3 linked regions of the Canis lupus familiaris genome follow. The protein of the gene in region 3 interacts with the protein of the main gene of each other region in a pairwise test. Links are inferred from orthologs where the notes say so. Each region holds a gene or a part of one and is shown on either strand. Other genes may lie near its edges. The genes, in order: TRIM21, MAD1L1 and USP15.

What was found.
Region 1: the proteins of USP15 (region 3) and TRIM21 interact in binary tests that used the Homo sapiens proteins (3 or more experiments, as listed by UniProt). The link is inferred for Canis lupus familiaris from reciprocal best matches to the Homo sapiens genes USP15 and TRIM21.
Region 2: the proteins of USP15 (region 3) and MAD1L1 interact in binary tests that used the Homo sapiens proteins (3 or more experiments, as listed by UniProt). The two-hybrid records come from large-scale screens. The link is inferred for Canis lupus familiaris from reciprocal best matches to the Homo sapiens genes USP15 and MAD1L1.

What each region holds. Positions count from the first base shown.
Region 1 is NC_049242.1:26,907,190-26,910,937, forward strand, and holds the start of TRIM21 (E3 ubiquitin-protein ligase TRIM21), read right to left. Parts: upstream 2,569-3,748; 5' UTR 2,450-2,568; intron 1,438-2,449; 5' UTR 1,391-1,437; coding exon 983-1,390; intron 496-982; coding exon 370-495; intron 1-369. UniProt on the Homo sapiens protein: E3 ubiquitin-protein ligase whose activity is dependent on E2 enzymes, UBE2D1, UBE2D2, UBE2E1 and UBE2E2.
Region 2 is NC_049227.1:15,032,343-15,036,090, forward strand, and holds the start of MAD1L1 (mitotic spindle assembly checkpoint protein MAD1), read left to right. Parts: upstream 1-1,500; intron 1,501-2,763; 5' UTR 2,764-2,776; coding exon 2,777-2,926; intron 2,927-3,748. Other genes in the region: proline-rich protein 2-like, read right to left, coding at 634-1,500. UniProt on the Homo sapiens protein: Component of the spindle-assembly checkpoint that prevents the onset of anaphase until all chromosomes are properly aligned at the metaphase plate.
Region 3 is NC_049231.1:5,982,445-5,986,092, forward strand, and holds part of USP15 (ubiquitin carboxyl-terminal hydrolase 15), read left to right. Parts: intron 1-1,574; coding exon 1,575-1,658; intron 1,659-1,748; coding exon 1,749-1,843; intron 1,844-1,943; coding exon 1,944-2,135; intron 2,136-3,194; coding exon 3,195-3,310; intron 3,311-3,484; coding exon 3,485-3,648. UniProt on the Homo sapiens protein: Hydrolase that removes conjugated ubiquitin from target proteins and regulates various pathways such as the TGF-beta receptor signaling, NF-kappa-B and RNF41/NRDP1-PRKN pathways.

The sequences.
Region 1 (3,748 bases), on a different chromosome or scaffold from region 3:
ATAGTTGCCTATGTCTGACCTGGATTGTTCCCTTAAGTCTGTACCTCCTGACAGGCCTAGCCATTGGGCATCTCTCCTGAGAGACCACTGACCAGACATGGAGGCAAAGGTGCCGTCATGTTTTAAGACTAGGCTTAAGGAGCAGGAGCTTTAGGGTATGGCTTGTACCTCTCCGAAGGGTATGGCACCTTCTCCTAAGACTCTTGATTTTGCTATCTGATCTGAGCTCTCTCCTTTTTATTCACCTCTATCAAGAGACCTAGAGGACAGCTGGTTCATGGTGAGTGAGATATATTATCACTCCTCAGATGGGCATAGCTATGCTTAGGGTTTGAGTCTGGGGCCCTGGACTCTGCCCTGGCTTCTGACCTGAGATTCCCTTTGGAGCACAACACTTGCCTTCCAGGCTGCTCTCTTCATTGCAGTATTCACTTCCAACTCCTCAGCCAACTTTTGTTCTTTTCTCAGTTTCCTTAATGCCACCTTAAGCTTCTCCTGCAGAGAAAGGTAGGTTAGCGCCCGACCAGTCCAAGAAGTAGGGTGAGGCGCCATGAAGACATGCTGGTTCTTTGAAAAACTTGAGTGCAGAGAAAGAGGGAAGACTACAGTCTGATTGGGATAGAGATTCTGGGGATGGGAAGACTTTGGCAAGAGCCTGAGGTTTCTTTCAAAACACAGCCACGCTGTTGGAGGTGGTGGTGTGGAGTTGGAGCATTCCTCATTCCTAATTAACCAGAAGGCCACAAGGAAGTGTGATCCTTGCAGCGTTTTCCCAAGCGTACTCCCTGGTCCTGGGGAATGAGAAAGCTGTCCTGAGCTTGCAGTTCTCTGCTTCAATTAGACCTGGAAGGTGGGAAACCCCTTCCTTTTCCCAACCCTGAAACTCCACAGGTGACTTTGCCTCCCTCACTCTGGAGAACAAAACCCCAAGCACGGACCCAGCTCCCTTCTACTTGGTCAGGCCTCTGTGCTAAGTCCTTACCTGGTATTCCTGAGCAGCCTCCTCGACAGGGACCGTTTTGTGGTTACGGTGGTTCTGGGACTGGGAACATACCCAGCAGAGGATCTTCCCATCTTCCTCACAGAACAGGTGCAGTCTCTCTCCATGTACCTGACACCATTCCCTCTGTGTGACTTCATTGGCATTCTGGCCAATTTGTTTAAGGTTGTCCACCACGTTAGCCAGTGGCCAATTGGGCCGGAGGTTTCGGAGCAAGAAGGTGTGCTGACACACAGGACAGACGCCGCCACCATCTTTCCCCACCTCAGAGATGCATTTGTGGCAGAAGCTGTGGCCACAGTCAATGCTCATAGGCTCCACTACAGGATCCAGGCAGATAGGGCATGTGACCTCCTCCCACATCATTGCCAAGGGCATTGCTGCAGCCATAGGGGTGATGTTCTTAGTAAGCAGCACTGTGGAGATCCTGGGGTACCCTGGTGGGGAGAGGAGAGAGGGAAATGAGCAGAAGAGAAGGGTTGTGTGAGAAGAAAAACAATCCAAAGGAAAACACAAGGAACAGTGAAGTGGAAGGGGTGAAAACAACACCAGAACATTAACTTGAATAATAAGAGCTTCTCCTCTCTAGTCTCATCCACTTACCTAGTCAGACAGAAGGGGAAACTGAGTCCCCCAAAGAAACTGAATGTTGTTGAGAACTTCAGAGATAAAGCTGTTTATAACTCTATTTTCATCATGGCCCTCTCTGCTTCATCCTCTGTCCCAGGCTTTTCCTGTCCACTCTCTGCCCTCTCAGGTCACCAGTCCGCTGCTGAGCAGCTCATCTGTATGACAGGGACCATGTACTCTGTACACTCCATAAGCCAGAGAAGGTGCTACCTGCTTTGGAAATATCTTCATTATCTGCACAATAATCACAGGAGTTACTTCTATATCTGTGATTATATACATAAGAATATATTTCTACATATCTGTCTGTATGTATATATACCTGCAGGTATATGTGTGCATATGGGTACCTGTATATGTTTATATGCGCACATGAACAGTGCCTGAGCACTCCCTGGGCTCTCCTCTCCCTTCTGGGAACCTGGTAGCTGGCTTCATTGCCTCTGGGGCACAGACCCACAGGTTTCTAGCGTCTGAAACTGTCCTGCCCCCTCTCACCCCCAGAGGAGAAGTGTCGAGGGGAGTGCCCGGACTACACTCCGGGCTGGGCTAGGTTTCTGCCCCGGTGCCCCCCGCTTAGGGCAGCGCCCCCGGGGGCTTGGGTGTCACGTTCACATTTGGGGCCCCGTCCCAGGCAGGCTGCCAGCCCGGGAGGAACTGCTGGGGCTGGGGCTGGGACTGGGGCTGGGACTGGGGCTGGGGCTGGGCTAGCCCTGGGGGAACCGGGTCTGCAGGCCCCAGGGGCGAGGACTAGATGGGGCAGGGGAGAGAGGTCCCCCAGCCAGGGCGGGGGCACTCGGGTCGGGGCGAGTCACTCACCTTTTCAGGGCTTTCGGCAGCCGGCGGCAGGCTCCCTATTTCACTTTCGATTTCCCGTCGAGGCGTGTCCGAAGGGGGTGGGCCGAGGGGCGGGGAGTGGGAGGAGAGGGAGGCGCGAGGGGCGGGGGAGCAGGCGGGGCAGCTCGGGAGCCCCAGGCGGCAGGAAGTCCGAGCTCCGCAGCGTCAAGTCCTTGCTTCGCGTCCCCTCCCAGGTCCTCGGGGTCAAACAAGAAAATATCGCATCCACGGTGGAGGGGTCACGCTGCCTCCTCGGACACTGGTCGTCTCGCTCCACACCTACGTGCTGGGCGACGCCCACGAGTGGGAGCTGCTCTCAGGGAGTTAGGGAGGGTGGGATGGCGACAACGTGCCTGGGGCTCTCCCTTACGTGTCACCCTCTGCTTCCAGAAACAAGTCCTTTTCAGGAAAGGCTTGATAGTCTTTTAACATCAGCTGGTGAGGGATTTATGTACAGCACGATCCCAAGGCAGGTGTCATACCAGTGAATGGTAAGAAGAGAATTGACATTTATTAGGCACCAACGGTGTACTTGTCACTGAGCTAGGGATTTTCTGAGGTTTTCTTTTTTTTTTTTTTTAAATTATGGTAAAACATATGTAACAAAATTTACCATTGTAACAATTTTTAAGTATATAGTTCAGTGGCATTAAATGCATTCACATCATTGTATCCCCATCCGCACCACTCATACGACTTGTTTCATCTTGCCAAACTGAAATTCTGTTGCCTGTTAAACAGTATGTTCCCTCAGCACCCAGCAGCTACATTCAATTTTCTGTCTCTACGAATTTGACTTCTTTAGGTGCCCCCAACGTAAGTGGAATCATATAGTATTTGTTGTTTTGTGACTTATTTCACTTAAAAGGTCCTCAAGGTTCATCCATGTTGTACAAGCATGTGACAGGGTTTCCTTCCTTTTAAAGGCTGGATAATGTTCCAGTGTTTGTATATGCATTTTGTTTATCCACTCATCTGTGAATGGACACTTGGGTGACTTCCATCTTTTGACTCTTGTGAATACTGTTACTGTGTCAGGTTACATATTTAAGCCACATAACGATTTAGTGATTTAGGAGATGTTAAACTCACATTCCAGGAGAGGGCATTGAGTCTGAATGGAGTAAAATGACTTGAGACATAGTAAGAGGTGCATGAGAGTTAAAGGTCTAGGGAAGACCGTCATTTTAGTGACAGCCCAGAGATAACAGGCTGCCCTGTCAACTCAAGCAGAGACTGTGAGGAGGAAGGAGAAACAAGGAAGGGTGAGGAGACTAGAAT
Region 2 (3,748 bases), on a different chromosome or scaffold from region 3:
GGGTGTGGGGGGGATGCAGGCCCTTTAGACCCTGGGTGTGTGTGTGCACACGCACAGACCCTCCAGACCCGAGGTGGGTGGTTGACGTGGGGAAGGGCCTTCAGACCCTGGGAGGAGGGATATGTGCAGACCCTCCAGACTGTGGGTGAGTGTTGTGCACAGACCCTCTAGGCTGTGGGTGGGTGGTGTGTGCAGACCCTCCAGACCCTTGGGTGTGCATATATGCAGGCCCTCCAGACTCTGGGTGTGGGCCTATGTGCAGACCCTGTAGACCCTTGGGTGTGCGTATATGCAGGCCCTCCAGACTCCGGGTGTGGGTGTATGTGCAGACCCTGCAGACTGGGTGGGTGGTGTGTGCAGGCCCTCCAGACCCTGAGTGGGGGGCAGTGTGTGCAAACCTTCGGGGCACAGTGCAGACCCTCCAGACCGACTGCTCAGGCGGGGCGCGGGGGTTCAGGGAGGAGGAGGTTCGGAAGGGAGTGAGAGCCCCGTTACTGGATGAGGGTCTCAGGCCGTCTGAGCTCACGGGGCCCTGGGAGGATAGCCGAGTATTTTGCTTTTCCAGTGATCCCGAGGAAAGGAAAGACGTACTAATTCAAGCTAACACACGCTGTAGTAGAATTTTGGGAGTTGTCAAGAACAGGAAAGTTTGGCCCGAGGAGGCCACCGTTGGGCGGTGCTACTCCGCACAATACAGCGCGAGCGACTGCCCCAGTGGAGGTCCGTCCCGTTGCGGGAGGCGGGCCCCCCCACAGACCCGCGGGCCGGCCTCTGGTGAGAGTCCGAGTGCGGTGTCCCGGGGCGGGCGGCTCTGGGGCGCACGCGGAGCTGCAGGACCCGGGCGGCGCTCGGGCCCGGGGCTTCACGGTCGGCCGCCCAGGTCTCGCGAGAGCGCGGCGGCACGTCTCGCGATACGCGGGCTCGGACGCCGAGGAGGGAGATCTGAGCGGCAGCGGCGGCGAGCTGCCGGGGCTGGGGCTGAGGTGAGTGGCCGGGCGCCGGGGTCGCCGGTGGGCGGATATCCGAGGCGGGCCCGGCCCCCTGCCCGCTGGTCTCTCCCCGCCGTGCTCGTTCCCTCGGATCCAGACCGGAGCTCGAGCCGGCTTCGGCGGCGGCGGTGCGGAGCGGGGTCGGAGCGGGGGTCGGAGCGGGGGTCGGAGCGGGGTCAGGGCGGGGCCGGGGTCGAGGTCGAGGTCGAGGTCGAGGTCCGAGCGGGGTCATAGGGGGCCAGGGGTCGTAGCGTGGCCCGGGTCGGAGCGGGGTCAGAGCGGGGCCGTGGGGCGGGACCGGGCAGACCCCACCGGGCGCCTGGGGTCCGGCAGAGCCGCCTGGGAGCCGGGGTTTGCAGCGGGGCGGCAGGGCCCCCCCGCCCCGAGTAGTGCCCAGGCCAGGAAGGGCAGCCCAGGGGTGTGATTTGCAGCGCTTGGGTTTCCGCGGTTGGGTTGAGGATTGGAGTCTCTCGGGTAAAGAGGACGGAGTTTGAGGACTGCCTAAGCGCATCCCCAGTGCAGCGCCTTAGTTCCAGGCGGTTGAAAGCGTGTGCGCTCTTCGTTCCGGGGGGAGTTACACGCATCAGCTCTTACAGGGGCGCCTCTCCGGACCAGGACTTCCCAGCTTGACTTCCCATCACCGGTCGGAGAGTATGGCCCCGTTCGGAAGGGTTTGCTTTCTAGAGTGGACCTCTGCTGTCCAGTGCAGCTCGGGCCTGCATCTGCCGCGGCCCTCAGCACTCTGTGCTTGCATGTCCTGTTCCGCCTTCTACTCCAGGTTTCCACATGCAGTGTGATTGCGAGGTCGAGAGGACAGCTGTGTTGTCTGGGGTGAAAACATGGCCTACAGAGGAGGGCTCTGTGTGCATAGGGCCAAGGTTCTCCCCAAACGGAAATTCAGAGTCAAACTAAGATTCCTCACTTTCTTTCCTCCTCTGGGGGGAACGTGGGGAGGTGTTTTCAATCTAACGCTCAGAGAAGTCCCGGTGAGCTGGCCTTTTACCTAAGAGGTGCCTTTGCTTGTTAACTGCACCTGAGATGCTTCCTACACACTGGTTGGCAGGTGTGAGGCCACCGTCAGCACAGGTTTGGGGATGCAGGTTTGGAGTTGGTTTTCTTTTCTTTTCTTTTCTTTTTTTAAAAATATTTTAATTATTTATTAGAGAGCAAGAGAGAGAGGACAAGGCAGGGAGGGGCAGAGGGAGAAGCAGACTCCCCGCTGAGGAGGGAGCCCACCCTGCAAGGCTCCATTCCAGAACCCTGGGATCAAGACCTGAGCAGAAGGCAGATGCCTAACCAATGCCCGGGGGGTGCTTGTGCTCTGCCCTCTGTGCCCTGGCTTATGGAGCACACCGGACTTTAGAGCCACACAGATCTGGCTTCTGGCCTGTTCTGTAACTTTCTGAAGCCTCGCTTTCATGGTGTGTGAAATATGTGTAGAAAGACCTCATCTCCTGTTGTGTGGCCTGAGATGTCCTGTGTGATGTTATAGGCAGAGTGATGAACTATGGCACCAGGCACCCCCCCATCCAACTTATGATGGATGCTGTCATCCTCACAACAACTGTGCAAAGTGACCCTCGTGACCGTACTTTCCAGATGAGTCCACACTGCCAATTAACTTCAAAAATGTGGCTGTGACACTGGAGTATTGTCAGGATTCTGAGGGAGCATTGGGAGAGTGGGGCCACCCAGAAGTGCCCCTGCCTAGACCTCTGGTAGAGCTAATGGTGCCTGCAAAGGCTCACCGTCACCCCTCCCTGTTTTCCTCCAGAAGCAAAGTGGCCATGGATGACCTGATGGAAAACACCACTGTGCTGTCCACCCTGAGGTCTCTGAACAACTTCATTTCCCAGCGGGTGGAGGCAGGATCTGGACTGGATGCTTCCACCCCTGCCCAAGGTTCTCTGCAGATGCAGTACCAACAGAGCATGCAGGTGAGTGCCGTGTAGCGTGAAGGGGTCTCGGGTGGAACATGTGTGCCCTTGACAGTTCCTTTTCCAGTTGCAAGTAGTCCAGGTGAGTGCTCTGTGTGCGGAGGGCTCTCCAGGTAAAGAGAAAGATTGGGTGTGTCATGGTCTCTGATTTTGGGGACCCATTTGCAGATTTTGGCCTCAGTCTGCCATGATGTGGCTTTTACAGTTTTCCTATAAGAAGTCTTACTTCATTTCACTTTTTTTTCTTTTAAGTATTTATTCACGAGAGAGGCAGAGACATAGGCAGAGGGAGATGTGGGACTCGATCTCAGGACTCCGGGATCACGAACTGAGCTGAAGGCAGGCACTCAACCACTGAGCCACCCAGGAGTCCCTCATTTCACGTTCTTAGAAACGCTTACTATTGACCATGAAGGTCTCCTGGAGGACTTGAGGTTCCACAGAGTTGTAGGGTCAGTCTCATGGGGGCAGGGGTCACTGGGTCCATGTGAGGAGGAGGTGCTGTCTGCAGCCTGGCCCCTGCCACTGTGCACTGCCGCCACATCAGGCAGCAGTCCCCTGCTTGTGCAGCTGGAGCCAGTCTTTGGTAATGGCCTGTGACAGAGCCAGTGGTGTCATGTGGCCCTGGGAGCCCTGAGGAGCCCCAGGCAACATTTGGTAAGAGAAATGCTCCTGTGTTTTTATGCATTCATTTGCTGAATGTTCAAATATTTTTTGTTTTTTTAGTGGGCTGAGTTGCTCACTACCATTTTTTGGCAAAGACTTTTATTCTGAAATTGTTTTTTTAATGTTTGTGTTTTGCCTAAAGCACTTTTTTGGAAA
Region 3 (3,648 bases):
AATAAAAGGGGCCATTATTAATCATTATATTACCAGGACAGCAGGTTCATCCAGGGCTGAGACAAAGCAAATTAGAATATATTGTCACCTGCTTTAAAGAGAGCATATAGAATCAAGAAGGGGGTGAAGGGTAAAACTCTAAAGGAGTTTGACAACCTTGGTAATAGGTTAAATAGATGAGGACAGAAAGCTAGGGGTAGATTGATAAGTGAATGGAAAGTGAAGAATTTAAGATAGTCATTATAGACATTACTTTTAACAAGGTTATATTTATAAAGCAGAGGAGAAAGGAAGATAACTAGAGGGGGATTATCAGAGGGAAGGCAATGAGAGACTGGGTTTTTGCATTTTGTTTTTTGGTTTTTGTGGGTTTTTTGAGAGACTAGTAGATTATTCCATTGCTTACGTAAGAATCAAGGTAAAATGACATAAAGGATGATTCCTGGGTTAGGTTCCCAAGGAAGTAGAACAGGATGGGAATCAGAACATAGATGCTAGTGGTAGCCTTAGATGGGAAGGGTAACATCTGATTCTCTTTCCCTGTGTAGAAAAAAGATGGAGAAAAGGACCTTTTAGAAGTTTGTTCAGGGACACAAAGTTGGATATTTTCCTATCCAGTAGCCTCTACTTTTTTTGGTATTCTGCTGATAGTGAAGGGAGAAATTGTAAAATAAGGAAGCCTAAGGAATGGTGAAGATTGTATATAGTTACTGGGAAAAATGAAAGAAGAAGCAAATAAGGGATGCACAGAATTTCTGGCTAGTGTTGAACAATCTGTTAAGATTTAAGCACTGTGGATTTGTAGCAAACCAGTCTCTAAAATTGGTCAGTTTTCTCCAGCATATCTGAACAGCTCCAAGAAAGTATAGCAAGAATAAAATTGAATAACAAAATAGTTAAACGTTTTGCAGTGGAGTATTGAAGTGATGGATCCTGTGGGATCTGGATGGAAGGGCGTGAAGACAGTAGGAAGCTGGTAAACCCAGAGAAAATTAAGAATTAAAACTAGAATTCTAAATGCAAGCCAAGAATGGGAAAATGAGTTTCCAGGAATAATAATTAGCTGTCAGTCAGTAGCCTGATAAGAGGTTTAAGATATCAGAGGTGGGGCAAGTTTATGACAAGGTGCAAGAAGTGAACTACAGTTGAATGTAAGTGTGGGTCTCGGAATCAAAGAGCGAAGGAACGATAAGGCGAAGATAAATTATCCATATAGACATTATCAGCCAGGGGGACGCCTGGGTGACTCAGCGGTTAAGCATCTGCCTTTGGCCCAGGGTGTGATCCTGGAGTCCCGGGATTGAGTCCCACATCAGGCTCCCTGCATGGGGCCTGCTTCTCCTCTGCCTGTGTCTCTGCCTCTCTCTATGTGTCTCTCATAAATAAATAAATAAAATATTTTTAAAAAAACAAAAAGACATTATCAGCCAGGATTAATGATAGGATTGGAGACGGACACTGTGAACCAAATACCAAGCGAATGTGAGGAGGCAACCATGAGGTCATTTTCATCTACTGAGTATTTCTTCCAAAGTAATAAATTCATTACAGCTTTTTTTGTTTTTGTTTTTTAGTACAAAGTGGTTGTCCCCAAAATTGGAAACATACTTGATCTTTGTACAGCATTGTCTGCTTTGTCAGGAGTACCTGCAGATAAGGTAATGTGTTTCTGGGTTTGAAGTATATAAGTTGGAATTTAGTGTTTCAGTGATGTAAAACCAGCCTAATAGAAATATGTTTCCTTTTAGATGATAGTTACTGATATATACAATCATAGATTTCACAGAATATTCGCTATGGATGAAAACCTTAGTAGTATTATGGAACGGGACGATATTTATGTGTAAGTATAAAATTCATTGTGCAAAATATTACTTGGGAAAAAATTCAGAGGGAATAACATAAAAGTTTTCAGAGTTTTACAGTCAGTTTTGTCCTTACAGGTTTGAAATTAACATCAATAGGACAGAAGATACAGAACATGTGATTATTCCTGTTTGCCTAAGAGAAAAATTTAGACACTCAAGTTATACCCACCATACTGGTTCTTCACTTTTTGGCCAGCCTTTTCTTATGGCTGTACCACGAAATAATACTGAAGATAAGCTCTATAATCTCCTGCTTTTGAGAATGTGGTAAGTGTCACACAATTCTACATTAACAAAATGAGTGATAGAATAGTTAATAAAAGTAAATACATGGTGTACTATCTGAATATTTTGGTAAGCTTGTATTATTTCAACTTTGTTTAAACAGGTAGCAATTTTAAAAATCAAATTATAGTTTATTTCACTTTCTTGACCATGTAAAAACACATTACTGAGGTAATTGCAAACCCAGAAAGCATGAATTATTTTAGCTGTTTTAAACTAGAAGTTTACAGTTGGAAAAAATAGGAATTTCTCATGTATGCACTCTGAAATTTTAACAAATTTCGGATGCTTCATTTCTTTATACAGATTGTTAGTTCAAGAACTCCTGCTAATGGTTTTATTTAAAAGGATAAACTTTCGGGCAGCTCCCGTGGCGCAGCGGTTTGGTGCCACCTGCAGTCCAGGGTGTGATCCTGGAGACCGGGGATCCAGTCCCACGTCGGGCTCCTTGCATGGAGCCTGCTTCTCCCTCTGCCTGTGTCTCTGCCTCTCTCTCACTCTCTCTGTGTTAAATAAATAAATCTTTAAAAAAATAATAAAAATAAAAGGATAACCTTTCATGGTTGATAGTATTTTAAGGCAACCCCTTTTTGTCTTCCTAAAACCTTGATTTGAATTATAACATAACCAGACTGCCATTTGATCCCTTATATTTTATCTTTTGTAACTGGCATATTTAGTAATACCTATTTTAATCATTACAGTCCCATAATCCATATATAAAGATCACATTATACAGTTAAAAGTAATCTAAATGAGGGTATTTATATAATAATTCTAAGTCAAGAAATTATTTGCCACAAACTTATTTAACACAGAAAGGTGTTAAATACTTGGAAGTAACAAATTACCTTCTTTCTTTTTATAAAGACAACCAAAACAGAAATGATTAGTCACTTGCACTTATGGTTCTATATCCTAAGTTTGATTTATCCTTGAATCTACTAAGTGCCCATTGAAAATTTTTGTTTTACTGAAAGAATAGAAAACTTTAAGTTTTTACCTTCATAGAACTAAATTTGATTTCTGATTTTATTTAAGCCGATATGTCAAAATTTCTACTGAAGCTGAAGAAACTGAAGGATCCCTACACTGCTGTAAGGACCAAAATATTAATGGGAATGGCCCAAATGGCATACATGAAGAAGGCTCACCAAGTAAGAATTCCCTATTAAATTATAAAACCTTTCACCTGGATTGTTGCCTCAGAAAAAAAGATGGGAGTTAAGGAGCTAAAAAATCTCTTCAAGCCTGGGAGAAATAATGTTAATATTAATAACTTTTAAATGTAGCTCTGGGTTTATTTAAAGATTTCTAATATCTAAAATTAGGTGAAATGGAAACAGATGAGCCAGATGATGAATCCAGCCAGGATCAAGAACTTCCCTCCGAAAATGAAAACAGTCAGTCTGAGGATTCAGTTGGAGGAGATAATGATTCTGAAAATGGATTATGTACTGAGGAAACTTGCAAAGGTCAACTCACGGGACACAAA